Daphnia pulex: one gene and its partners. The protein of the gene in region 5 purifies or fractionates together with the protein of the main gene of each other region. This does not show direct contact. Links are inferred from orthologs where the notes say so. Each region holds a gene or a part of one and is shown on either strand. Other genes may lie near its edges. The genes, in order: sec1 family domain-containing protein 1-like, vesicle transport protein USE1-like, sec1 family domain-containing protein 2-like, neuroblastoma-amplified sequence-like, syntaxin-18-like, synaptosomal-associated protein 29-like and RAD50-interacting protein 1-like.

Region 1 (4,215 bases), on a different chromosome or scaffold from region 5:
AGTTAAAGAAAAAGTATAATAATATTTGGATTACGAGTTTTTCTTTAAGAGTTTTTTCAGTACCTGTTTCAAGAATTGATTTCCGTTATTTAAAGTGGAACAACCATAGACAATTTTCTTTGCGTTACCTCCCACTGTTTTCGACTGGAAAAGTAAAAAGTAATTAAATAACTTCAAATTTTAAAAAGAAAGAGAGAAAAGATTCAATACTTTAGCATAGTCGACCAGATTTTGATACTCGGCATATGTCCCTCCACCCACCATGAATACAATAGCATCTTGGAATTGGGCACGACTCTTAAGAGGAGCAGTACTACCGCCCTCACTAGGTTTCAAAAGCTTTGGATCAAAATAACGGTAATCGTCGGTTTCTGGAGAGGGTTTCAGTTCCATCAAGTGATCAACAATCCGTGTAACTGGTAAATTCTGTTGAAAAATATTTTCATCAAATGAATTCTGATTTGAAAGTAATTCAACCAGAAAATGCTTACATGTTTCTTTACAACCAAGTTCTTCACGCCTTCCATGACAAAATTCGAGCCTTGGGACATAAGTTTCGTAAACATGTTCACTGTTCTAGTTCCACCTCCCGAGTACTGGCTAGAGCCAGTCGCAATCTTGCTGCACGACCTTAATTGAAAATAGTGAATTTTAGAAACATGTCAAACAATCCACGATTGAAATTACTCACTTCCAACGCTTCAAATAGCGCAAAGCTGCTAAATTGCAGCCAGCAGCTTTTAGTGCAGCGGCGTACTGATCAGTTTCGGACTAAACAAAATCGATAAATATAACAAGTAAATATCATTGTAAAAGAGGCTTATTCCCTACCTCAGTCATGTTAGGTGAACAAATAAAATAGACCAGAAAGAGTCTGAGTTTGTCGTCTGGAGTTCCGCACTCCGAATCACTAATGATGTCTAAGACAGATCGATCTAAGGCGTTTTTGCTCATAACCTTCTCCTCCACCTCTAGTAAAACGTCCAATTTTCGCTGCTTGATTTGCTCCAAGATGGCTAAAAGATTGAAAGTTAGTAAGTTTAGTCTTGTGTCAATTTATGGGTGGTTCATAGGAAGCCTTTAAAAAAATACATAATTTTACCTGTTGCTATGGTTGTATGCATGTCTAAAAGCCGCTTCCTCTCCAGAAGCTGGGGTAGAGAGCTAACTGCTGAAGTCAGCTTGGCTGTTGTGTTGGAAATCAAACTCATAGCGGCTTCTCCGTCTGGATCTAATCCCTTTGAAAAACAAAACGTAATAAGGTAAATTAATGGCCACAAATTTCTATTCATCGAAACAGTACCATTGATTCTTTTAATCGTTTCACTTCACTCTCCGATGCTTTGTAATCTTCCAGTTCTTCTTGGATGGATTCTGCTACTGTTGGGAAAGGACTGCCTCTATAAGATATCCAAAATTTGTCGGATGGGTTCAAATCACAAGTCTTTATTTTGGCTTTGTGAGAAGGGGTGTGCCGATGGCTATCCGGATGGTGATTGGCATCACTTTCTGGTTCCTGGACGACCACACGATTTAAAGTGTAATCCAAAACATCGTGTACAAGGGCTTGGTAAGTCCAAGTGTGGTGGAGAGGTGTAGCCATGTCCAAGTTACGGTCGAGGAGAACCAACAAAGGCCTCTGAAATCTAAAAATTTTAAAAAATATATTGTAACTGCAATTCGCGCGGCGGGTTATTTGGCTATGAAACAGACATACCCAAAACTTTGGGTTAGATCAGAAGTAAAAAGACCACTTCTCGTATCTCGCAAACTCTCCCTTAATTTCTTGTCTAGTTTTTCAGCTACCATTTCAGCTGCATTTCCTTTAGGACTTCGAATCACCGGAACAGTGCCTGCATCATTGAATAATTTGCACATGATGCACATATAAATGAAAAATAGAACAACTTTTACCCAATGTGGCAAATAAAGAGAATAAACTATCCACAATTCCATCTAAAATGTTGTTCATCTCTGTATCTGTTATTTCACCCCTGTTCATAGCTGAAATTAATAAGATAAATTTATAATTTGATTTGTTTTAAGGAAACAATGTGGCAATGGGGGCAAGAGTAGTACTCACAGTAGTAGGATATCATGTCACTGTTCTGATTTCTGAGGATAAACAAATCATCTTCCAGAGAAATGAAATTCAGGTATTGATCACAAACTTTTAAGATCTGGGCCACACTCTGAGCATTGATTGCAGCAGATGCCAAGTCCTCCAATCTTTGCCGGGATATGGATGAGATAAAATTGAAGTAATATGATTCATATAGCTGGTTTTGTAAATCTTGGCTTATTCGTCCTAGGTTCTCTTCAGTGGGCAGGCAAAAGTAAATAGCAGGCACATCTGGAACAGGGTCTCTAGGTGAGTGTAGTTGGACGTGGAGAGTCACACCTAGTTCTTGCAATTCCTTGACTGATAGAATGGGGGATATGATATCCTGTCCATACTTGTCGTACACCAAAATTTTCCATGATGGTTCCATGATAGTTGATTTAGTTATAGGTTGGTTGAAATTTATCATTTGCTTCAACAGATCTGTAAGAACAGAAAGTATAGCATGAAAAACTGAGTCTTTAAAGAAAACAATTAACAGACGTACTTATCTGTCTCTCTCGTATTGAAGAGCCCATGGTTTTTCTTGTTCAATATTCTCGTGTTATATTGTTTTATGTTATATTATATATTTGGATTTTGGATGTCGGTCAGATCGTGTACTTATCCGGATCCGTCAAAACAGATACGTCAGCAGCTGTTTTTTTCTTCTCCGCTAGATGGCTTCCAAGAGGTTGTCTGCCTGTTTTTACTTTTTTCGGCGGCAACATAAACTTTGATTGGTACTTTCTCTTTTTACGAAAATGTTGCTTAAATTATTTAGATGTTGTATTATTTGATAAAGTTTTAATATTATAACCGTTCTCCTTCTTTTTCATGTTTTTGTAACACCTTTCTCTGTAACAGAATCCTCCCTGGAGCTGGAAGCCAAGTCCTAACTCCCAAGCAACAAATGTCAGGCAACAAGGTCAGTTAATCAGTTTCACTTTTTACTTTAGTGATCGTCAACGCTTGCCCTTTATTGGAGAAATTTCCGCATTGGCTTACCTTCTAAATTTTATCAATTTCGAAGTATTTCAGTTGTTACCTCGATACATAAACCTCTTTTTCACTGTCGAAGGAATCAGAGCGGAAAATGTATGCCGCCTAAAAGTCTATAGAGTTAAATAGTGTCCCACCCTTTAGTGTTTGTTTCCTGTTTACTTTTATTTCATCACAGGCAAAGAGAAAAGTTCTTTTTAAAATGATAGCTAAAAGAAAAATAATATTTTTATTCATGTTATTAACATCCATGACATCTGAATGGCTTGATTCAATTAAGATGCGATAAAAAAAATTCTACGAAATTCCTAATTGAAGAAACACTGAATACGAAAATCGGCGTCTTATGTAACTATGAATAATATAATTTAAGCTGTATTTGTGTCCTCTTTTTAAAAGAATTTAAGTATTTAACAAATACCCTATTTACCGCAAAGAATAATAAGCCGACGGGAGACGGGACCATTTCATTATCTTCGTGTCTGTTTCGGTGTGGCCTATATTTTCGTTTTCTACTTAAACCGAGGAACTTGACATAGAGAGTCCAGAGAGACAAAACTGAAATGGAAAGTAAATGGTAGCATTTGTTATGCCATTATACTCCTTCCCTCTATGACTATGCAGGATTTCCTACATTATTGCACGTACGTATTATTTCCGTAAACTTTTCCGTTTCACAAATGGCAATTATCTAACACGTTGCGCTTTAAAGACCAAGAATCAATCCCTTGAAAATTGTTCCTATATAAGGTAAGCTTGTTGCGTTTGTAAGATAAACAGTCTTCGACTATCATTTGCCCAAGAAGGACAATTATAGCTTTGAGTCTCCGTCAACAAACTACATTCTTTAAAAAAATGAAATTCACTTTAGTTTTGATTGCAGTAATCGGTACAGTTTGATTTTGTCTTCTAAATCTTTAGTAATATAAAAAATCAATCTGACTATATTAAATTTTATTGATTTATAGGTTTCATCGCCGTAGTGAGTGCTGAATCTGAAGAGAAGACCAATGCTGCAGATGATACTCCTCGAGTAAGTTATAATTTACAAAATTTCTGATTTTCTGATATAAAATTGTTTTTTATTCGACTGGTGAAGGACAAGCGCGGGT
Region 2 (2,874 bases), on a different chromosome or scaffold from region 5:
ACAGAGCGTTACCAGTGATGGTCAAGTAGCTGTTGACGACGAAGAATTGGGACAAGCCCAAGCTGGACGGGGTTAGATAATACTTGTTTTCAAACAACAACTTTTCGTTTTCTTTCCAACGGGGCTACTTATGGCGTATATATATCGGGATTTCTAGACTACGTCGATATGTACAATTTTAAAAAAATGTACTAAGCCTCCCTTGTTGCCTCGTTTTATTTTTAACTTCTTTTTGTTTATGGGACTCGAAGCCTTCAATAAAGTCGATATAACTTCATTTCAATTAGGTTTAGATTTAGATTAACTGAGACAAATTGGGACAACTAACTGTGCTAATTGTGATGTGAATAGCAAAATATTATGATTTAAAAACAAAAAATCCAAAATACATTAATTGTAGTTGTATTCTCAAAGTAAGGGCACCAGTGGTTGATGAATCCTATTTAAGAACTTTTAAGTTTTAACCTTGTTTAATTTTTAGTATGTGTGATGTTCTTTTATACTTAGGATGTCTTCTTTTTCTTGAACAACCGCATGAAGACAATCATGGCTAGATAATAGAAAAAATTAACATCAAATGAACCTCAACATTACAATGAAGCAATAGATTACCTATGAAAGACATGCAGACAAGCAATAAAAACAACCAAACCCAGCAACGGGTACAGAATCCACTTCTCTCTTGAAGCTTTTGTGTTTGAGTCTGAAGGTTTGTCTGATTTTCTTCAGCCAGAATGTTGGCCTTTTCCAGTGTAATTAAGTCCTGTCTGATAATTGAGTTTGCAGACATGGTTTGCTCTTTCATGGTTTTAGCCATGGTAAGCAAATTATTTGTGATTTCTTCTTGGGTTTGCTGCTCATTACTAATCACTCCATCAAAATCCTGCACATGAGTAGGAGTGGTGTTTGTTTTTATGGTGCTCAGTAATTCAGTTTTTCTTTGCCTTAATGTTGAAGCAGGATTTTCAAATTCTTCATTTTTTTCTGTTGAGACAGACTCATTTGCTGGAAGTAATTTATTGGTCAGCAACTCATCCCTAACTTGATTGCTATACTGAGATGCAACTTTATGTCGGATTTCCTTTGAAACTGTGTCTCCGTATGGAGAAGAACAAGGGGACAAAAACTGAGAAGCAACAACTTTATCTGTAACAGAAGGCTGGAAAATTTTTATAAGTTAAGTTATGAGAAAATATGTAATGATGATGTAATTACCAGCTTTTCAGTGATGGTAAGACCTTTCAAAAAAGCAACAGATTTTGTGTAATCATCTAGAACATCCTTATTTGGTGGCATTGGACATTTCTTCAATTCTGTCAGCTGTTCTTCAAGTGTAATGATATACTATTAAACAGGAGGCAAGACAAATTAAAGCGATCCAGCTTCAGTTATTGTCGGTGGAAAAACTTATTACCATTGAAGAAGTAAGTCTACCTTCTCAAATCTCCATTCAGTGTGCTTTCCATTGTTGGCAATCGTTTTACACTGTTCTAAAAGTCGGATAAAGTTTGTTTCCAATCGAGTTCGGGTCATTTTTAGTAGCTATTAGCTAACGGATTAAATTCCCCTAAAATTAAACCCAAAATGCAGCAATTTAGAGCGACGAGCACCTAGCCACCTAGACAGTTGACGTAAACATTGTGTTGTGAAGAGCACGATGAATAATACAGGCCGCCCGGTGCGAGCTACTTTTTCTGACATGGCAATTGGCGCTCGATCTTCGATGCGTCGATTCTCCAAAACATTTTGCTGCTGGCCGACCATGCTATTGGTATTGGGCTGGCCTTCGCTTGTAGGAAAATTCGGCAAACTGCTGTCTGCTATTTATTTTCAAAAGAAAATAGAAACCATTGCCGGAATTATTACACATAGAAGTTGATTAATAAGTAAATCTGATGATGTGGAAATCACGTTCCATTCGCCATGCTTTTAAAATGTGCAGATGCAAATCCTATAAACATGTGTTTTGGTAAGTAATTTTTTTTACTCAAGAAATAATACTATTCTTTCTGAGAAGGAGCATCACACTGATTTGCCTTTATTTCTTATTTGTCTAGGAAGAGACAAATATTTCTTTTGCCAGAGCACATGAGTCTCCAACAAAGTTTTCAACACTATTCCAGTAAATCTAAATCTGAAATTGACCTAACCTTATTCCCTGTCGAGAGGATCAGAAATTTTTCAATCATAGCTCATATTGATCATGGGAAGAGTACTCTTGCAGATAGGCTATTAGAATTAACAGGTTTACAATATTCATCATTATTTGACTGAATACAGTTCTGTAATTGTCTCTTCATTTTCAGGAACAATTAGCAAAGGAGGTCATGAAGCCCAAATGCTTGATCGTTTGCAAGTAGAAAGGGAGAGAGGCATTACAGTGAAAGCTCAAACTGCCACATTAGTATATAATTATCAAGGAAATGACTATTTGCTGAATTTAATCGATACACCGGGGCACGTCGATTTCTCCTTTGAAGTATCACGGTCATTGGCAGCTTGCCAGGGGGTTATTCTTTTAGTTGATGCAAATCAAGGAGTTCAAGCTCAGACAGTTGCAAATTTTTTCCTTGCTTTTTCTCAAAATCTGGCAATAGTTCCTGTCATGAATAAAATTGACCTGAAAAATGCTGACCCCGAGAGCGTAGCTACTCAAATGAAAAATGTGTTTGAATTTGAACCGAAGAATATCTTACGTGTAACATAAAATTTATCTCTTTTTATTTCATTACATATAAAATTCATTGCTTAATTTTCTTTCCAGATTTCAGCTAAAACAGGCCTTAACGTAGACGCGGTACTTCAGTCCATTGTAGAACGTATTCCTCCTCCGAAACATTGTAATATAAATAAGCCTTTTCGAGCTTTACTGTT
Region 3 (4,018 bases), on a different chromosome or scaffold from region 5:
ATGCGCTCTAATTTCATCGACAGGAACGCCCACTAAAATATTATTTGTTAATATGAGCGTCTCTCCAGTTTGATATTTGCAAGTTCATTAATACCAAAATCTTGAAGCTCATCAGAGAGAATATCATTGACGATAATTTCTGCCACGAGACTCTTAAAGCGTTCCTCCAACTCAGCGGGCAATACATCTTTTCGTCTGTCACCTGCTAGAGAGTACAAGTGGACCAACAGAACCAAGATATCATCCAAAGATAAATTCATATCTTTCCTCGTCTTCAACAGCTGCAAGACCTATTTTCAATCGACATTTTCACTTTATTTAAATAAAGAGAAATTGAACGAATTTCAAGAAAAACCTGTATGAGAGGAGACGGAGATTCGTCATCTAAGCATTCAACCAGACTTTTCCGAATTCCCTCTAAATCGTCCATTCGTTTTGCTTTATCATTACTCTGAATCTGAGATAGTCCGTATCCAACCTGTAAGGGAGGAACTCATTAAACAAATGCTAATAGAATAAACCAATATTGAGGTACCTGATACAAATGAGTAAACTTTTCAATAAAATCCCAATCCTTGCTGCATTGATGAATGACATCGCCCAGATTTTTAAGATCGTTTGAATCTTCTAAGCTGTCTTTCAGAACATCCGTAAACCATTCTGTAGCCTGTTGGGAATTTTCGTGAAACAAATGATCCATCATGTCCCATCCGTCATTCCAATCTGTTTGAGGTGCTAGACAGCCAGGTGCCGTCGTCAAATCTCCTTGCGGTTTTCCACTCATGTTAATAGCTACATCACTAGAGTATTCGTGAAGCCGGTCAAGAGTATGGATGAATCGGTCGTACAAATTGTCACTAGAGAACTTGGTCGCGGATGCCAAATCAAGGAGCCGGTCAACCAAGATGACGGACACTTTATTTGTCGCCGTCTGCCAAAAATAAAAAGGGCATTGATTATTTTATAAAGAAGGATTGTTTGTCATTTCTATACTTTTCTTCGAGTTTTGGCAGCATTTAAAGCTTCAAGTTCAGTACCGATTATTCTACTGAATGGGCCCACTGTGAAAATTTCATCTTTTCCGTTGATGTGCTGTATCAGTTGATTAAGGTTGTGAACTAGCTGACGCACTTGTACTTGCGATTCTAATGGCAAATTTGCATTACTGAGATCGTTTATCGATCGCACTGTTTGTGCATCCGCCTGCTGTACATAGAATATAATAAATTGGTTTGATTATCAAAGAGTAACTATGCGACAATTATCCGTCTGTAATATATGTTGATGATTTTCAGAGACACTTTCGCTAACTCGGACCAAAGTTTTTCAACAAGGCACTCAAAGGCTATTTTAATAATAACCGAATTGCTTCAGATTTGGCTTGCTCACATCATTCAATCTCAACACAAAATTAAGTAAGAAATTTCTTACTTATATTGTTACGATTAAGAGATCTAGCCAGGTTCTCTTCATAAGCGATGATACATGGGTAATCGGGTATAGGTCACTTTTTACTTAAAGTGTTGTGCCCCACTTTGTTTCAATTTTTTAATGAGAAACTTGGTAAAAGATATCTTAATCAAAACAATTGTAGCACAAAACTGCTGTAACATTAAAACCAGATACCTTGCTAAATAGAATGAGCTGTTCATTTAGGTATCCTAAATCACTTGTGAGAAGAGGCCTTGCTAACTTTGCAGAGGGTATTAAAACTGTATCTCTGGTTGGATGAAGGGTGCTTAAAGGATAACTGAAAACTTCCACAGTATAATTCTAAAAAAAGAAGATAAAGATTTAAGAAATTTAAAATGCACAATATTTCAATGAATCGATTTTACCATGTTCCCCATCCACCCTAAAACATCGCCTTCAATCTTTTGCAATACTTCCGAGTCATTGCTCTCCCTCGAACCCCACAGAAGAAGATGATGTACAGACACATGGGCTGAAGTTATGATGACACAATATTCCAAATTGCTCTTCTTAATGAGGCTTTCTAATATATTGTAGTTTGTTCCATGCCAGGCTGTGCTGGAAATAAAGACACCTTTCTTGATATTTTTAGGTACAACCTAACAGTGGAAAAATAAAGATATAAACATATTTATGTTACATGTTCTGATAATAATATGTTGCAATGTCTCAGGCTAATTTTGTGATTACTTCGAAAGTTGAAAGTTCTTTAATGCAGCTTGCTCCAGCTTCCAGAAGAGATGGTGCACCTCCATTCCAGTGAAGACATTCACTGTATTTTAAAAATGTGGCATAGAAAGTAGAAAAACTCTTATGTTGTAAGTAAATTAAATTTGGACAATATCCTACCACGCCAACGGATCCAAAAAGACGGCTGCATTCTTCACTTTCTTTCTGGCTTCAGCCCACCACGCTTGACCAAACTCTTGCCATCTCAACATTGCAATTCGCTATAATCTTATCTTGAGAACTTTTCAACTAATGGCTGTACTAACTGTTGACAAACGCACAACAAAAGACGGTGATTGTTTGTTGTGTATTTCTGTTGCGCCGTCTGCAAATGTCAACACGACAAAACATACTAAACAGCATCCCCAACTAGTTGGAAATTTAACTTGGTAAAAACATCGATTAAATACTCCAAACAATCTACTGCCAAAATTCGCATTCACGACTGCAATAAAGCGCGTAATAATAACATTGACATCAAGCGCAACGGCTACGTTTTTGTCGAAAGTTAAACGATTACATGATTGTGGTTTGTGCGTGTTGGCCTCAAAAAACATCGATGAGTGAGAGTTGGCCTTCAGCCCTTTTTTCACATCTGAATTTGTCCTCTAAAAGTTCGGAGCTACTGTTTCATTCTTGGCATCTCAACACGTTTTCAAAATAACGCATTTGCAAGGGTGACATAGATATTTGTATATCCATCGCTAGGGTAGAATAATCATAGAAATATGTACATTCAGTCATTTCGCCTGATCACTCTCTCACAGTCTTGAAATATTCTTGAAAAATGACGCAAATGTCAATGACGAATTTCAAAAATGACGAAACAAAAAGCTTCGCTTCTTTCTATGACCTTCCAGAAACCGTAAAATATAATAGTACCGCAATTTCTAGGTAGCTCCAGTGGTAGTGTCGATTATCTTTGTATAATATTACTCATCATTTCTGGTCTTCTGTGAGTCATCGGGGAATCAGCTTTTTTTTCTTAATGACTCGACATTTGCTTTGATCCTTTATTTACTAAATCATTATTTCTCATTGGTTAAAAGTAACGATAGTTGGGTAGCGTCTGGCTATTGTTGATTCAAGTCCTGATTGAAGAAAATTGGTCGACGTTGACGTCGGTTCCGATAAGATAATATTCAATACAATATTGCGGGTCAAAGTAATTTATGTAAACAACCTCAATGAATCCAGGATGTATTATATAAGATTTAGTCCGCTTAATTTGCATTTTACGAGAAGAGCTTGAAGACGAGGTAAATAACCGATTATTCAACTGCTGTGTATTATCAAATCAAAAGTGAAACAGGAGAATTATTGTTCAAAAATTGGTCTCAGACTGATGAATAAATGGAGGTCACTCCCAAATAAACCCCAGCAGGCCTTGTGACGTCAACGATATATAACCTTAGTTAGCCTTGGGATTCGTATGCTTTTCTTTTTCAATCTCTTTTGTTGTAGTTGATTGCGGACATTTCCCCTTTTTGCTGCTGGCGGCCGATTCTGTTTCCTCCTCCTTCACGACCAAAAGTTTGTGCGTGTGACGTTTGGAGGTCGACTCCATGTAATCCGGGCTATGACGAAGTTCCGGCTTTTTTCTTATTTATGCTCTTCAGCTTTCCCTCCTCGTATCCCACCTCACCACCACCACCCGTCAGACGTCAGGTGAGTTTCAATGGGGAGAACCCAGGGAAGAGAAAACAACGTTGTTATTTAGTAACTCTGCCACTTACCAATATCGTGAAAGAAGGCCGCACACTTAAGCAGCGAACCTAGCGGATGATCTTGACAAGTTCCAACTTGTTTATGATTT
Region 4 (3,500 bases), on a different chromosome or scaffold from region 5:
CCTCAAACGTTCCAAATGCTCCGCCCACTTTTCCATGCGGGCCTGGTAGTCGTCCGAGACTAGAGCGTCGCTGGAAGCTTTGCTTTTGCCGCGCTCTTTGGCGATTTTCAGACATCGACGACAAATTTCTGTCCGGATATCAAGCGTCAGCAAGTCCAAGGCACGATCGGAGAAGCAAAGGCCATCGACAAGGTTTAAGAACTCTTCTGAATTTAGCTTGGTGACGTGAGTCTTGCAACTTTCAAATCGATCAAGCCAATCGGAGACCGCCACACTTTTGCCTTCATCGGCCAACGCGAAAAAATATTTCCGAATCCAGATTGAATGCACGGTAGCCTGGCTTACGCCCGGCGACATTCCTTTGACCGAAGACGATATCAGTTGTGCGAGCTTGGCTAGTTTGCCAACGTTTTCCGCAGTGGCGACGCTCTCAATCTCTTGCACAAAACCTTGAACGGATCGCGTCAGCTTTTTCACGTCAACACCCTTAATCGATTCCAGCTTACGCAGAATTTGAACGTATACAGGAGCGGGGGGCTCCGTGAATGCAGCAGTCGTTGGGTTCGAATTGAGTAACTGGAAGAAAAGGACTAGCCGACCATAATCTCGACCCGAAATACTCGGATAGATTACGTCCACCATCTTCGCCCCGAGTGTTTGTGGGTCATTGAATAAGATGTCGCGTATGCGGTATTCGTCCATGTGTTTCACGATATAGCTTGGAGCAATCTTCTCTTCAGCGAACACAGCTGCCAGATGAGAAAATGTCACTTCCCATTCAGAAACGCCATAATGTGCTGCCAAGCGTACGGCTGCTGAATAGACGCCGGAATCAGTTGTGATGGCAAGACCTACAATTGTATCTCGCTTGTAGATATCGTCCGTCGTGAATCGATTAATATCGACTCCTCCGTCCAATCGACGTAGTTGCTGCGCTTCAGACACATCGGCTAGAAGTCGTAGAGCTCGTTTAAGAAGGTTGCGGCACACAACCTGATCTTTCGACAAACCTGTCTCGGGAAGGGTCAGGCAACGATGGATCAGAGTGCGCGGACGGGCGGTGACCATGTTGGCATCAGCACCCAAGGATTCGTCCTGAGAGAAACGCATCATGCGTAGAGAGAAATAATAGGCAGCCATCTGCAGAGTGATCTCTGTGCTGGGTAAACGCGTTAAAGGCTCCCATGCTTCTTCGGTCGCCTCTAGATCCAATAGATGGCCCAAGGCCAGCAAACAATCAGAAGGAAATAGACATTCGGCTAACTTGGATAATATGTCGTCTCTTGAACGGCTTTTGACGTAAGGTTTTTCCAGGCTGTCCAGCACCAGCATTCGCCAGGACCACATGAGAAGATTAAGTTCACTATTGACCATCTCGGGCAGAGAAAAAAGCCGATAGGAAGCACCCAATTGACTCTCGTGAAGTTCTATCCTTTTGTTGCACCAGACGTCCCAATAGAACACGGATAAGCCCCAACGGATGCATTCTTTATTATCTTCTGATGTTCTAGGGGTGGGCGTTTTTCTTGCTCCATTTTCTGCTGGCCGAGCTTCTTTTAGTTTCAAGCTGCTCTTGACGACATTCACCAATTGCTTTGTCGTTTCCGCAGTTGTCTGCAACACCTGCTTCGACACGCTTCCACCACTGGTAGTTGTGGTAGTTGGAATCTGATTATTTTTATCCATCTCTTGACGATAGTCTTCGACTGATTTTGGATACACCAACTTCAAGAAATTATCATTGCCGTTTTCGTAATCCATGTACATTTTAATTTGTTTTTTGCATTCCTGTTCAAGTTGTTTTTGTTCCAACTTCCATTGCAATTGTAGCAATTCTTCGATGCATTCAGCTGGGCAATAGACTAAAGAGAAGGAGATGAATTCTATCCTCATACTCAAATCGGTCACTTCATCAAGCTTGGCTAGTTGGCTGCAGACCTTCCATCCGACTGCATGATTGGCTAAACGAAGTTTTCCACACATTTGGCCAGCTACTTCAAGATCTTGTTTTATGATTGCCGTTTCAGCAATTCGGACATATATATGCCCTTCTAGTTCTTTTCGACGATCTTCATTATTAGTTAACGAACTTCCTTTGCAAGCTCTGAGTAGATGTCCAAGTCGGAGGAGTCTAGACGAGTTCTTGTAAGCTTTGTTAGCTTGTTTCAAAACTTGATCAATGAGAAAAAGGCGATTTCGCGACAACCTTATCTTGAGCGGTGGCATATCCAATCCATAATCGTACAGAAGCTGAATAGCGCCAATTAGATCCTAGGGCGAAAAAAAAATAATAATCATAAGACATAAGTCACACTTGATAAAACAAGAAATGACAAATTAACACCTTTTCTTCTTGAATAGTTTCGTCGTCAATTGTCACTAAATTGAGACAATAGCTCGCTAAGTCTAAGCTGGGATCCGAAAGGTTTTCAGAAGAATTAATGTACTCTTCAGCTGCTTGGAGAATTAATTCTTTGCTTCGGCCAAATGGAATTTTCGACGTTGAACTGATGTGATTCTGTGATGTGTGGGAATCGATATTTGGATGAAGCTGCAGCATCAAACCAGCAGAAACGATGTTCTCCTTTTTAGCCGAAGAAAGTAAGCTACCAACGAGAATTTCGTAGCACAGTTGGGGGCTGATACAACAGAAGACTTTACGCTGCAACTCCAGCATATCTTCCAACAATTCTTTCCATCGATTTTCGGTCGATGGATCGCCCTTTCTTAAAGCCGTCCTGGTCAAACGGACGAAAAGTTGTTCAAGCTGCTCCACATCGTTCTGCTTGGCCAATATAGTCGCAGGTGTTATGGCCACGTCGTGATTTTCGAGAATGTCAGCTGCCTCTAAATGAGATTGGAGCTGATCCAACTGATCGTGTAGATGGGTTAGTAGCGGATCTGCTTTGGAGCCAGTTGGTCGCTCAGGTAAGCAATCGTAAATTTTCATGGCCACTTCAAGTTGGTCGTTCTTCTGGCAGGCGTAGATGCATTCCAGAGCTAGCGATATCAAGAAACTTGCGTCGACGACAATCGGGCTGGCCTGATCCGTCTTCGAATTGGCACAAACCTGCAGTGCCCAGTCCAGATTTTCTTGACTCCTGACTACGAGTAGGCCGCGTAATAGCTCCTTGATACGACCAGGCTGTAGAGTATCCAGGCGACGTAAATAAGGCATCAACCAACGATGAAGTTTCGGTAAAAAAGAATCAACATCACAGCCACCCATGATTAGTTGACAAACGCTCAGCTCGCTCATGGCGTCGAGCCTTTCCAAGTTGAGGTGTTCTTGCTGGAGGTCGTAGACAAGTGTTTCCAGCGTCAATAACTGATGATGGATGCGTTCCAAGTGAGGCACGTTTCTTTCTAGGCCAAGTTTGATGAAATCCAACGCGTTCTCCACCAACATGCTGTCAAATATAACAAACGTTGTCATCAATATTATCAGTATTTATTAAAATTAAATAAAACAAACCTTTGTTTTTCGATGTCCGCAGCTC
Region 5 (3,975 bases):
TTCTCTCTGAAATTGCTAGCTTGCAACTGGCCGCGTCCCATGTCATCATGTATGGATACATATACTCTGATGAGGGTATAATGTATATGCTCTTCCAACTCTGAAAATTCATTTAAAAAAGAAATTGCGGGAAAAGAATGTACGTGAGTCGCGTTTGATCCAACTAAGAATTTCTATCAAAAATATTTTACCTTTGTAGACCAAATAATCACTTTCTTGTAATAGTCTGTTGTTGCGAGATAGCGTCCGTCAGGTGAAAGTATTAATTGATGGATCTGATCATGTCCTGTAAGTTTTCGTGTCTGAATTTCATGATCAAATGGATACCAAATTACAACGTTTCCACTTTCTAATCCGCTGAATAAAAGCCAATTAAAAAGCTGTGGTTATTAGAATGTCAATTTAAACTTGCATCTTTTAAAACTTGATTAAAATAATCTAGGCAGTCTAACCATGCAATAAAAGTTTTTGTCGTCATCTCTTCTTTGATGCCAGAATTCCATACCAAATTTCTGCAATTGGAATCGACATCCAACACAAGAATAGGATCTTTACTGCCCAATGACCAAATCTGCAATTAAAATTGTTTAAATATTGACTCATTTAAATTTAAAAACTTAGACAATAATAATTGTCTATCGACTATTAAAATCCAATAAATATAACGTATGTAGTTCTAATACCTTGACTCGAAAGTCTGTTCCACCTGAAGCCAAAAGTTCAAATTCTTTGTTAATGGCGATACTCGATACGAAAGTTCGTGTTTGGCCCTGGTAGTTCATAAGCGAAAAATTGTCCCTGGAATTCATAAGCGAAAAATGGTGAACAGCTTTGTCATGATCACCCAGATCGTGACGGATTTTCTGGACCATTCGGCTTTTCATTTGACTGTTATTCAATTCTATTTCGTGAATTTCAAACGTTCCATCGTCGTAACCAAAGGCGAGTTGATTGTGCGAGTTCCAGGCCAGGGTCTGACAGTTCCATTTTGATTTGATGGTGTGGGTGAGGAGGTTTTCAGCTGCTGAATTGGCAATCATCACCTCGTTTGTGTCCAACTTGAGATACAATTTTAAAACTTAAAATTTCTGGTGAACAATAAATTAATGTGAATGTTTCTCGTGTACACCGACTTTTAATTTGAAATTCTCCCTTCCCGCATTACTTAAACAAACTACTAAGTTAGCACATGAATATTGTTTTTTTTTTTTCACTTACCGCACTGTTATAACTAGCCAACATGTCCCGGTTAAATGGATGCCAAAAAATTAACGGGAAATTCGATCGTCCATTTCTTCGGAATGTTTGTTTGCCACAGCCTGGATAAGACACAATAATGACAGTCCCATTATCGGAGCCAGCAGCTACTTTAGTTCCATTGACCTTTACGCCAAACAGAAAAACAAAAATAGAAACTTAGGATTAACACTGTAACATTTAGCACACGATTTTGATGGGGTGAAACACGGACACAATTATTTGATTCACAGACTTACGTTCCATTGGACGGATAAAATTGTCCTTTCGTATCGGCTGTATACGGGTTCAATCTCCCAATTCTCAAACGGTGTGGAGTGATTAGTTCCCCGAAGGAAAACTAATCCTCCTTGAACTAAGCCGCACGCCAGAACAGGATCGATGGGGTGGAAACTGGAACTTCTCACATCTAGTTTACTCGTAATTGAGAACTCAACTGGTTTGAAAAAACCTGGATGGGACATCAGACATTGATTAAAAACGATGGACAAGTTTATAAATATTTGTCTTACCTTTCCCTGGTGAGTTTACAGCATCTGTCATTTTCTCTCTCCTTAGTGACGAACGGAAGTGTAAAACCACGTTTAGAAGTAGCGAACTAAAATGAACGAAACATTATTTTACAGCGTTAAAGCTGGAATATCCATAGAGTTTAGAATCTTAAAAATTTCACCGATGCGCAGATAGATGAGTAATATTTAAAGAGACTGGCAGCACGATGCCTCGAAGAATGTTGAAACTGAAGTGGCAATTAAAGAAGATGGAACTGGAAAAGTAAAACTGAAAAACAAAAGAGAAACGTTCAAGGGGGTAAGAAGGGGGTGGATTTGAACGGGGTCGTAGGAAAATTTACCTTGACTTTTTCTGTCTGGAATCTTTTTTGTTTTTCAAACTTGTCTCGAGGTTGCTAAAATAGCTGTAATTTTCGATACGCAACTGCATTTTGACTAATCCTTTGACAAAAATCTTTTCTCACTCCCCTTACCTCACACCATACGACTTTCCTCTCCACACCCACTATATTTTTTTTACCCACTGAAATAACCCCAAAAGAAAGTAAACTTGAAAAACTCGTGTCTTTTCATTTTCCCGACAACTTAATTGATTTCAATTATCTTTCAACAACCAATGATACATTATAACAACTTTCTCAGAGTCCATTGATAGGCATCTCTTTTGCCGATATCACGGTATTTTGTTTATCTAATCCGTTCACTCACATCACGAGCGTGATTGCTTTTCAATTCTAGCTGTCTAAAACTCTTTCAACTTGGCCACATTTGAGACAATCTCTTTGGCTTTCGTTTGGAATTTTGAAAAATGTTTGGATGGTCGTGGGAAAATGCAATTTGGGTCTTCAGTTTTCAGCTAGCTTTATTGCGTGTCCGGACCGTCTTGATGGAGACCTTGAACAGGGACGTGATATCCATCATGATCGGTGTTTCCAACAACAAATATTTTGATTTGAATAAGTAATGTATATTCTTTATAATTTATTTGTTTAACTTACCGTTTGACAATGATTTTTGAGCAAAAATCTGCCAACACTCAACAGCCGTTCTATTTTTCAAACGTCCTCGTCGTCAGTTTGTTGTGGAACTTAGTCCGCCATCTACCAGTCGTTTGCCAAGTTCGTTGCAATGTATTTTTTTCTTTGGCGCCATTCCCATGAACGACGAGCTATTCGTCTTCGAGAGCACACCATTACTGCCATTACTTCACAAGTTCACTGAACAGTGAACAATGTTCGAAAGTGTGCATCCATCGTCTTCATTTGTGTTGAGCAGCGTGATATTACTTTAAAGATTGTACTGTTCATTGTGATTCCTTTGCAAAATCTGTGACCAACATTTTCGGTGGTGAATTGAATCTGCACCAGGCTGGAAGTGACACACATGCTGATGAGGTAAACATCCCTTTGTCTGCAGTATTTGTACGAAAAATATGGCGCCTGACTTATTCTAGAATTGTAACGTGTTGGGTACTTGATGAAAGGTAACTATTTGTGAACTGTTTCACTAAATGACAATATCAACTATGGCACGAAAGGATTGTAGGAGGGTTTTGCACCATGCAGTGCCAGTCAGTTTATATCTTTTTTCGACAGACATCAGAATATGCATCCCATGAGGTTTCTTTTCATGGTGAGTCTACATTGCTTCCTCGTGAAAGTTTATTTTATTATTTTTACGTTGTTGGTGGATATTACTTTTGTTGTTTGTTTTATTTGAGCAGGTTTAGTTTGAGAGTTTTGGGCTTGGGCACCGGTGGTGAAACCCTGATGGTGGTAAAAGGTGTCATGATCTGTTCCCAGTTCTAAACACCTTGCGAGAAATTTAAGACATCCAGTCTTTCACTCGTTTTACCTTCAAATTTACCTTGGTGGACCAGATAACCAATTTTCCTTCATAGCCGGTCGATGCCAGAAAGCGTCTGTTTGGCGAAAATAAGATTTTATGCAAATCGTGGGAATGTCAATCGAAAAACAAACTTGGTTGTATTTCCTTTTCCGTTGGCGACCAAACAAAAATTGATCCGTTATCTAACCCTCTGAAAAAAGATCAGAAAAAGGCGATTGAGCTCTTACGCTTAATTAAATAATCGATTTGGGACACTGGGATATTAGATGAATGAAATCTGACCCGACTAAAAAAGGTTTTTCCTTCGCTCTTTGCACGATTACGCTGGATGGGAATTGGACTCCAAATTTATTCGCAA
Region 6 (2,955 bases), on a different chromosome or scaffold from region 5:
CTCTGGGACGGATAGAACTGGGTATTCCTTTCCTACACCTGTCTCTTACCTGTTGATTACAAATAATTGGGTGTTAATAGAAACATGAAAGACAAGAAAAATAAAAGATATTGCCAAACCTTTTTGTATTTGTATGTCATATACTTTTCCCAATCATCTAACATGTTTAACCACTTCAGCTCTCTTTTGCGAAAAATGGCAATCATTGCTGGGTTTCTAAATTGAATTCAAAATAAGCAAATACAATAGTGTTAAACTAATAGGGGATTCAAGGGAAACAAATAAAACTTACATTTCAGTGTCATGACTGAACTGAGATCCTCCAAAGAAACCATATCTGTCGGGGACTGTTGATGCTATTGATCCACCATAAATAACACTGCTGACATCATCATCAACATCGGTTTGATTAAGGGAACCATTCATTGATTGGTTCTTTGTAAGAAGCTGTCTTTCCTGAGATTGGAACTGGGCAATGTCAGGAGCTGATAACACTGCATCATCAACTCCAAGGATCTCTCTGCTGAGCCTGTTTTGTCGTTTTGCTAGCTTCCTATCTCCACTAGGACCCTGTTCACATGAAGGCTGACGGTAGACTGATTCAGAACTAAAGGGTTCTAAATCAATCATATTGATTCGTTCAAGTCTTTCAAGACTTTTTCGAAATGTACGTCTTTCCACAGTTGTTGCACTGCCATCATGGGCTGTTTCGACGTTGCGAAGGAACGGAGATGTTATCACTTGAAGTGATAATGGCTCGTGACGAGTGGCCATTGATTATTTCAAATATTTCGCAATTATTTTATCAGGAAATAAGGCACTCATGATACTGACACGTTCTAAGGACAGTTGCGTGACTTCACACGTAGATATTTTGATCACGGGAAAACAAGTGAAGTAAGTAAGAAGGGCTGCTATGACGAGAAAGAGGTGGGCTGTTCCCTCAGCCTGGTGAAGCCTCGCAACATTCCTTAAATTAGCTAATTTTATTAAATATTACTGATTCATATGAATGAATAATAATAGAGAATTATTTTTTGAAATTTTTAAATGAACTTAAAAATAATAATATGTTTTAATTGATTTGATTTATGTTACTTACAATTTTATTAAATCATTACTTTTGTCGTCGCTAGAGGGAAGACATCAAACCTTGGTTACGACTCTCGGCAGTCTCTTTAAAGGCCTTGACAGCTTCGGAGGGCATGCGAAAGTGAGTGAGCAACAAATAATACATACAAGGAAAAGTGTATTAGTGTCGAAAAAACTATGGCTGGATCCAGTGGGCGTTACGTCAAGTCTAAAGGTTCAAATCCATTTTTTGACGATGAAGACGACGTGGACGACGAAGAATTTCTACAAAGGGCACCCAATAGGTTCAATAACTTTGGAGGAAAATTAGCCAATAGTTTGTCGGGCGGAAATAACAGTTTCCAACCTCTGGACGGAGGAGAAAATCAGAGCGCCGATGAACGTAGACGACAACTTCTTATGGAGAAACAGAAAATAGAAGAACGTACTTTGCAGGCTTCAGGGCGAGCTAAAGGAATGTTGTATGAGACTGAGCAGATTGGAATCTCCACCGCTGAGGTTTGCACATAAGCTTACATTAGAAAACCACTTAAAACTTGATTCATTTTCCCCTTGAAAATACCCAACCAGGACTTGGTAAGGCAGAGGGAACAGTTAGAGAGAACTGGGAGCCGACTGGATGAAATGAATAATTCATTGAGGACTTCAGAGAGACACATACAGAATATCAAGGTAGTCTATCTATATTTTATAGCATTGGTTGGTTGTTTTTTCCTTAACACAGATTTCATTGATTTTTAGAGTGTGTTTAGCAGTATGAAGAACTACTTTTCTAAGCCTTCAGAGCCACTCAAAAACTCTTCTGAAGGGTCTTTGTTAAAGCCTAGTTCCAGTAGTAGTAGTAGCAATCTTTCCAAGGTACTTGAGCAAACATCATCACCGATTGACCGAGACTCACCATCACAGCAACAGCACCCAGCATTGAGGATTAAAGGACTTGAAAATGATTTTAGTCACAAACCTCTTTCCAATGTCGACGAGCAGCTAGAGCAAGATCTGGGTGACATGAGTTTGTCCCTGTCCCGTCTGAAAGGTCTCGCCCAGGGATTGTCGACTGAACTGGAAGATCAGAACACGTTGATCGATCGGTTGCAGACTGGTGCCGACAAGGCTGACTGGAGAATCCAGCGTCAAAATAAAGATATGGAACGTCTTCTGAAAAAGTGAAAACCCCACGAGTCCATGTTGTTTCCAACTTGTGATACACAAAGAATTAGAATTGAATGAAGAAAAAAAAACTCTTTTTGTTTTAAATAAGAAAATCTGTCCCCCTCTTTTTGCGCACCAAGGTAAATTGCCAGCACACTCCCAGTGTGTATATATATTATATATTCATGGAATAATACATTTAGGTGAAACACGGTCTGATAAAAAGAAAGAAAAAAATGATTATTTGCATGAATTCAATTGGGGATAAGTTTACTAGGTATTTTATTAGTATATGAAAATTTTTTCCTGAGAGTGTTTAATCATCCGCAAGGAATTTTGCAGATGTTGTGGAAAGATGAGCGGACGTGGTGATCGTGTTATTGCCTGTTTCACGATTCGATGATCATGAGAACGAAACGAGCCGGACGGTATGAATGGCAATTTTTTTTTTCGTTTTGAGAAACTTGTTTTAGTTGACAAGAACATATCCACACAATGTCCTGATGGGCCAGCTTGTCTTTGCGGATGTCTGCACCAGCTGTTATTACGGTTCATTTGTTGATTTTAGCCGCACACTAAATTGCCATTGTCTTCGTTTGGCGACTGTTTTCTGTTTCCGTTTTACAACAGAAGACCATTGGTCGGAGTTCCAGTTCATACAAACCGCAAACGTAGCACCTTGAAATGTGGAAAAAGGGGAATTGGCCGCACATT
Region 7 (4,213 bases), on a different chromosome or scaffold from region 5:
AAAAAGCGGTATCAGATTCTGCTGGATGTCGAAGCAAAGTTGAGAAGCGCCTCCTTCATTAAACTGCCGCTGTAGGATCAGCTCTTCCAAGAGGAACTAGAATTAATGTTTGATTCGTTAAAATTTCTGATTGAATAAAAACAGGCACAGTCATTTCATACGTCGTTCACTTGAGAGGCCAATTTCTGCCACGCTTCGACAAACATAGTAGATGCCAGGGAATCCTTAAGCCACAACAAGCCAATCGCTACTGCCTGGAGCATTGCAGATCCTATTTATTATAGAACAAAGACGTCAAATAATAAAACGGATTATCAAATAAAAACTACGAATCTAAATACTGACCTGTTGGCGATAGGCTGGGTTGAATGAATTCATCCGGATTGGGGAGTGATGCCCACCTACCGGACAATTCCATTTTTTATAATAAGGCAATTCAAAAAATTATTTCAATTACTTACTTGTCAAGTCTGTAGGGTTGCGATTTGGCTTTCACTTCGAGCATCACCGCCTCTACCAGACGGCGCAGCAAATCTTCCTGCATTCTCTTTAAAAGCTCAATGATGCTGTCAAATACCGATCCTGTTGATGATCAAATTCGGAATAATGTTTTGTTCGGAAAAATAATATTGAAAAGACTATTTGTTTACCTTCTTCGTCTCGATTAGTATGAGCTTGAGTACGAAGCCAAGGAAGCGAGGCCTCATCATTGCTAATAGCTTCTGCAGCTAAACGTTCAATATTTTCCGTCTGGACTTTATAACTATGCAGTTGAACGAAGAACTTGCATCACAAAAGAGAAACATAAACGATTATTATACGATAATTCATAATTTGGATAAATTATTACCGGCAAATCAGTCCAGTCATCTAGAACATTAATAACAGCCGTCAGCGTGTTCAGGATAGGGCTGATATTGGGCGATGATCGATTGGCGAATAATTCGTGAAATTTGTCTTGACGGGCTAACTGTAGCAACCGAATACGGAACTCGTCCAGCAGTTCAAGCTGTAAATCCAAAAACTGCAACTTATGACCGGGTTGGGGTAAGATCTTGTAACGATCCGTAATGGCCAGCAGCATTTGGAGAAATCCTTCGCCACACTCAGTTAATCGAACTTCGTCTTCTGCCTCGGAATTGTCTCCAGAGACGCAAGTCCAGGCTTTATCGCTAATCAAAAGGATGTCCATTTTTTCTACGGCGACTATGAATGAAACAGAATGATTGAAGTTTAAGTAGAATGCGAGGAAATTCTCATTAGTCAACTTACAAGCTCTTTCTAAGGCAATCCATCGAGTAAAAAACTGGGGCTGAGAGAGAACAAGTAAAGCTGACGGCTGTGAGGATGGGTAGTTGTAAGAGGATCGAAGTTCACTCTCAAAGCTGAGTACTTCACCGATAGTGTGTGCCAAAATGGTTTCATCCTCAAGGATAACCGGTGTGTCCTTTACTAGTTTCTCGACAGCAAGTTGAACGAGTCCTCGTGAAAAATCCGTTAAAGCATCATTAGGTGCATACAAGGGTTGAACGTTTGTTTCGAGGAATTTAGCGTGATCTCCAATCCACTGAAGAATCTGGCGCATATACCACTCGGGTTTGTCACGACGGTTGGTTGGTCGATTACCACCAAAATGATATAAAAATCTTTTCAATAGAGGATATATTAATTCTTGGATGGCTAGGCTGGAAGGAGTAAATCTAGACAAAATCACATGATCTGCCACACTTGGATCTTCCAACCTGAAAGAAATAAAGAATTCAAAATGTATCCGCAAACTTGTACTTGGGCCAGTGTAGAACTGACTGTTTGGATGGGATTTCCAGTTTGCCAAGGCACTGAAATTGTAACTGAAACTTGCTCATCACATCAGGTGGAGGGACAGTTTTTAAAACCTCCTGGTTCGTTGAAATCAAAGGCCACTGTATCAGTTTAAGAGTATCTTGCATTTCCCTGTTTTTCAAAAGAACATTTTTTAACGTGTATAATAAATCTTTAATTGAAATGGGCTATACTTTTTTAGTTTTTCCTTGATCATCTCAAACCAGAAAATTACAGTATCATTAACAAACTTTTTTAGATTTTCACACTGAGATGTTTCCAGCATGCAGTTGTGTTGTACGAGTTTGTTGTACAACTCAACAGCTTCCAAATCTAGGTTAGACTGTAAACTCTGTCGGATTTTCTCACTAATATCATAAGTGATGAAACATGATTAATACTTTATGATGGGGTTTATATGTTTATTAAATTGAATACCTTAGATCTTCCACAGTTTTGATGCATTTCAGGTAGGAATATTCCAGTTCAAGTCTTTCTATTTCTTGTAGTTGACTGCTGAAATTTCCTAGAAATGTGTCGACAGATGTTAAGTGTGATTGGGCTTCAACTTTCAAGTCCAAGTATTGTTTTTCAAGAGTCACTAGTTTTTTTGAGAGCTCTTCAACCTCCCTCAAGGTGTTTTGAACTTTTGTTGGAGCTTCTGTGCTAACTAATGAAAGCTGAAAATAGATAAATATTAGATAAATAGATGTTGGAAAAACAGGTGAAGCAAGATTATTTTACTTTCTCTTTCAGATCATTTTGTATGGTTTTGGTTTCATCATACAGTTCTTTGAGTTTGTGAAGTTGTTTTAAATCTGATCCAATTTCTTCATTGAGTGCTTTTACAATTTTTCTTTGCAAATCCGGGTTTTCCTCCGTCATCTCAATAAATATGTGTAATTTATTAAGTTTGTTTACACAACTTGTTTGCTGCTCACTGGCTGCCACAGCCACACTACAATTTGCTATTGAAAACTGTCTGCTTGTTTATGTGTCAGAATAAATCGCGAGGTTGCAAGATAAATTGAACACAACTCATTAACTCATAATTCATAGTCATAAGCAGAGAATAAGCGGAAATCCATGAAAATCCAGTAGCTGATGAAAATTATGAATAATTATGCTTTTTACTCTCTTACTTTGTCATAACTTATGATCGAGCGAGACGAGACTGAAAGTCCGAAACAATCACTCTACCAAAACACTTTTCGATAATAGAATGAATTCAAATTTAGTGTATTTAAAAATCATTTAAATTTACCGTAATAACCGTATCATACAGTTTGAAAATGAAAAATGTAGCAACAATTACAGTCTAGTTTTCTTCTATATCCTTTGTTGAAATTGAGGTGCGCCCTAAATTAACGATGTTTTCAAAAAACGGGTTTAAAGGGTACGTGAGAATTCCCTTGTCCAATGAATAGTTAAAAAACTCGAGGAGGTTGTCTGATCGTAAGGTTACTTTAAGGTCGCACTTAAGTTTCGAAGTCGTCCGGGTACCGGAGAACTTGGACGAAGACTAAGCAATAGAAAATAAAAAATTAGGCGTGAACTGGATCTAGAAAGAGAAACAAAATTTTACCGAAACAGTGAATTTGGTTATGACAGGATCCTTCTCAGGATAGAAATGCTCAGAATAGTATTCATCTTTTCTTTTCTTCCATGGTCTATCTTCATCTTCTATGTCTTCTTTTAAATCTGCAATCAAACAACAAGAATTATGTCTCAAAAAATTGGCTTCCAGAATAATGACAAATTACCCGAATGAGATTCTTTCATCTCGACGTCTGCATCGATTGGATGTGTAGTTTTGACAGGTCTTCTACAGATCTTTCCTTTGCTAATCTTGTTTAAATGCAGTTGTCTTAGGGAACGGAAATCATTGCCTTCAAGAGGAAGTATTCTCAATCGAGTTGCTCCATACACTTTGATCAGGGTGTCGGCGATCATATCAGGGATGGATTTTTTAATGCAATAGAAAACAGTTTCATTTGGAAAAACCACAAAATAGAATGGGGGCTTAAATCGGGAGTTTGCAAGTTTTTCTTTGGCATTTAGGGCAGACGTATATGTTATTCTACAAAATATAGCACCTTTTTGACCTTGGCACACTATGCACTGCAAATGTAATAATTGCTTGTCAATTTAAACATTAATAGGAAAGGTTATCACTGTTTGTCTTACTGGTAATCGTACTTTGGTTTCCATGACCGAAAGCAGTGATTCTTGTAACTGGGTAGCAGACTCCATATTTTGCATCATATTCTCATCTGCATTAATGATTGCAAATCCCTTCCATTTCTCTCGATCTCTATTCGCTGGTTTCGCTACAAAAGCTAAATTCAAATCATTAGAGCAAGACTGATTCCATTTTAACTTTATTTCTGGA

What was found.
Region 1: the proteins of syntaxin-18-like (region 5) and sec1 family domain-containing protein 1-like purify together in Homo sapiens (affinity purification with mass spectrometry; 5 studies listed by BioGRID and IntAct, counting the BioPlex papers as one, with this or other methods). This does not show direct contact. The link is inferred for Daphnia pulex from reciprocal best matches to the Homo sapiens genes STX18 and SCFD1.
Region 2: the proteins of syntaxin-18-like (region 5) and vesicle transport protein USE1-like purify together in Homo sapiens (co-immunoprecipitation; 4 studies listed by BioGRID and IntAct, counting the BioPlex papers as one, with this or other methods). This does not show direct contact. The link is inferred for Daphnia pulex from reciprocal best matches to the Homo sapiens genes STX18 and USE1.
Region 3: the proteins of syntaxin-18-like (region 5) and sec1 family domain-containing protein 2-like purify together in Homo sapiens (co-immunoprecipitation; 3 studies listed by BioGRID and IntAct, counting the BioPlex papers as one, with this or other methods). This does not show direct contact. The link is inferred for Daphnia pulex from reciprocal best matches to the Homo sapiens genes STX18 and SCFD2.
Region 4: the proteins of syntaxin-18-like (region 5) and neuroblastoma-amplified sequence-like purify together in Homo sapiens (co-immunoprecipitation; 5 studies listed by BioGRID and IntAct, counting the BioPlex papers as one, with this or other methods). This does not show direct contact. The link is inferred for Daphnia pulex from reciprocal best matches to the Homo sapiens genes STX18 and NBAS.
Region 6: the proteins of syntaxin-18-like (region 5) and synaptosomal-associated protein 29-like purify together in Homo sapiens (affinity purification with mass spectrometry; 3 studies listed by BioGRID and IntAct, counting the BioPlex papers as one, with this or other methods). This does not show direct contact. The link is inferred for Daphnia pulex from reciprocal best matches to the Homo sapiens genes STX18 and SNAP29.
Region 7: the proteins of syntaxin-18-like (region 5) and RAD50-interacting protein 1-like purify together in Homo sapiens (co-immunoprecipitation; 6 studies listed by BioGRID and IntAct, counting the BioPlex papers as one, with this or other methods). This does not show direct contact. The link is inferred for Daphnia pulex from reciprocal best matches to the Homo sapiens genes STX18 and RINT1.

The regions. Positions count from the first base shown.
Region 1 is NC_060019.1:10,712,662-10,716,876, reverse strand, and holds the start of sec1 family domain-containing protein 1-like, read right to left. Parts: upstream 2,801-4,215; 5' UTR 2,641-2,800; coding exon 2,610-2,640; intron 2,546-2,609; coding exon 2,084-2,545; intron 2,005-2,083; coding exon 1,915-2,004; intron 1,854-1,914; coding exon 1,718-1,853; intron 1,647-1,717; coding exon 1,304-1,646; intron 1,239-1,303; coding exon 1,103-1,238; intron 1,017-1,102; coding exon 832-1,016; intron 772-831; coding exon 692-771; intron 631-691; coding exon 492-630; intron 427-491; coding exon 211-426; intron 145-210; coding exon 64-144; intron 1-63. Other genes in the region: tol-Pal system protein TolA-like, read left to right, coding at 3,959-3,992, 4,072-4,136, 4,203-4,215. UniProt on the Homo sapiens protein: Plays a role in SNARE-pin assembly and Golgi-to-ER retrograde transport via its interaction with COG4. Involved in vesicular transport between the endoplasmic reticulum and the Golgi.
Region 2 is NC_060018.1:697,881-700,754, forward strand, and holds vesicle transport protein USE1-like, read right to left. Parts: upstream 1,626-2,874; 5' UTR 1,534-1,625; coding exon 1,435-1,533; exon of another isoform or gene 1,418-1,434; coding exon of another isoform or gene 1,415-1,417; intron 1,345-1,414; coding exon 1,216-1,344; intron 1,160-1,215; coding exon 551-1,159; coding exon of another isoform or gene 504-550; 3' UTR 501-503; downstream 1-500. Other genes in the region: ATP-dependent Clp protease ATP-binding subunit clpX-like, mitochondrial, read left to right, coding at 5-76; translation factor Guf1, mitochondrial-like, read left to right, coding at 1,896-1,969, 2,058-2,245, 2,307-2,698, 2,765-2,874.
Region 3 is NC_060017.1:7,886,077-7,890,094, reverse strand, and holds the start of sec1 family domain-containing protein 2-like, read right to left. Parts: upstream 2,801-4,018; 5' UTR 2,415-2,800; coding exon 2,323-2,414; intron 2,246-2,322; coding exon 2,164-2,245; intron 2,073-2,163; coding exon 1,839-2,072; intron 1,774-1,838; coding exon 1,627-1,773; intron 1,207-1,626; coding exon 994-1,206; intron 932-993; coding exon 536-931; intron 479-535; coding exon 356-478; intron 291-355; coding exon 95-290; intron 33-94; coding exon 1-32. UniProt on the Homo sapiens protein: May be involved in protein transport.
Region 4 is NC_060028.1:6,573,763-6,577,262, reverse strand, and holds part of neuroblastoma-amplified sequence-like, read right to left. Parts: coding exon 3,476-3,500; intron 3,411-3,475; coding exon 2,345-3,410; intron 2,272-2,344; coding exon 1-2,271. UniProt on the Homo sapiens protein: Involved in Golgi-to-endoplasmic reticulum (ER) retrograde transport; the function is proposed to depend on its association in the NRZ complex which is believed to play a role in SNARE assembly at the ER. Required for normal embryonic development.
Region 5 is NC_060027.1:1,471,757-1,475,731, forward strand, and holds the start of syntaxin-18-like, read right to left. Parts: upstream 2,801-3,975; 5' UTR 2,768-2,800; intron 2,058-2,767; exon of another isoform or gene 1,931-2,057; intron 1,856-1,930; exon of another isoform or gene 1,801-1,855; coding exon of another isoform or gene 1,770-1,800; intron 1,709-1,769; coding exon of another isoform or gene 1,497-1,708; intron 1,384-1,496; coding exon of another isoform or gene 1,219-1,383; intron 1,059-1,218; coding exon of another isoform or gene 684-1,058; intron 572-683; coding exon of another isoform or gene 453-571; intron 358-452; coding exon of another isoform or gene 192-357; intron 101-191; coding exon of another isoform or gene 1-100. Other genes in the region: F-box-like/WD repeat-containing protein TBL1X, read right to left, coding at 1-100, 192-357, 453-571, 684-1,058, 1,219-1,383, 1,497-1,708, 1,770-1,800. UniProt on the Homo sapiens protein: Syntaxin that may be involved in targeting and fusion of Golgi-derived retrograde transport vesicles with the ER.
Region 6 is NC_060025.1:1,294,317-1,297,271, forward strand, and holds synaptosomal-associated protein 29-like, read left to right. Parts: upstream 1-1,150; 5' UTR 1,151-1,269; coding exon 1,270-1,590; exon of another isoform or gene 1,591-1,662; coding exon 1,663-1,764; exon of another isoform or gene 1,765-1,833; coding exon 1,834-2,259; 3' UTR 2,260-2,455; downstream 2,456-2,955. Other genes in the region: TBC1 domain family member 10A-like, read right to left, coding at 1-49, 120-216, 293-774. UniProt on the Homo sapiens protein: SNAREs, soluble N-ethylmaleimide-sensitive factor-attachment protein receptors, are essential proteins for fusion of cellular membranes.
Region 7 is NC_060023.1:2,168,669-2,172,881, forward strand, and holds the start of RAD50-interacting protein 1-like, read right to left. Parts: upstream 2,801-4,213; 5' UTR 2,707-2,800; coding exon 2,566-2,706; intron 2,502-2,565; coding exon 2,260-2,501; intron 2,190-2,259; coding exon 2,016-2,189; intron 1,954-2,015; coding exon 1,807-1,953; intron 1,743-1,806; coding exon 1,273-1,742; intron 1,207-1,272; coding exon 851-1,206; intron 784-850; coding exon 651-783; intron 583-650; coding exon 462-582; intron 402-461; coding exon 346-401; intron 272-345; coding exon 162-271; intron 97-161; coding exon 1-96. Other genes in the region: uncharacterized protein LOC124197333, read right to left, coding at 3,140-3,343, 3,407-3,522, 3,585-3,942, 4,009-4,160. UniProt on the Homo sapiens protein: Involved in regulation of membrane traffic between the Golgi and the endoplasmic reticulum (ER); the function is proposed to depend on its association in the NRZ complex which is believed to play a role in SNARE assembly at the ER.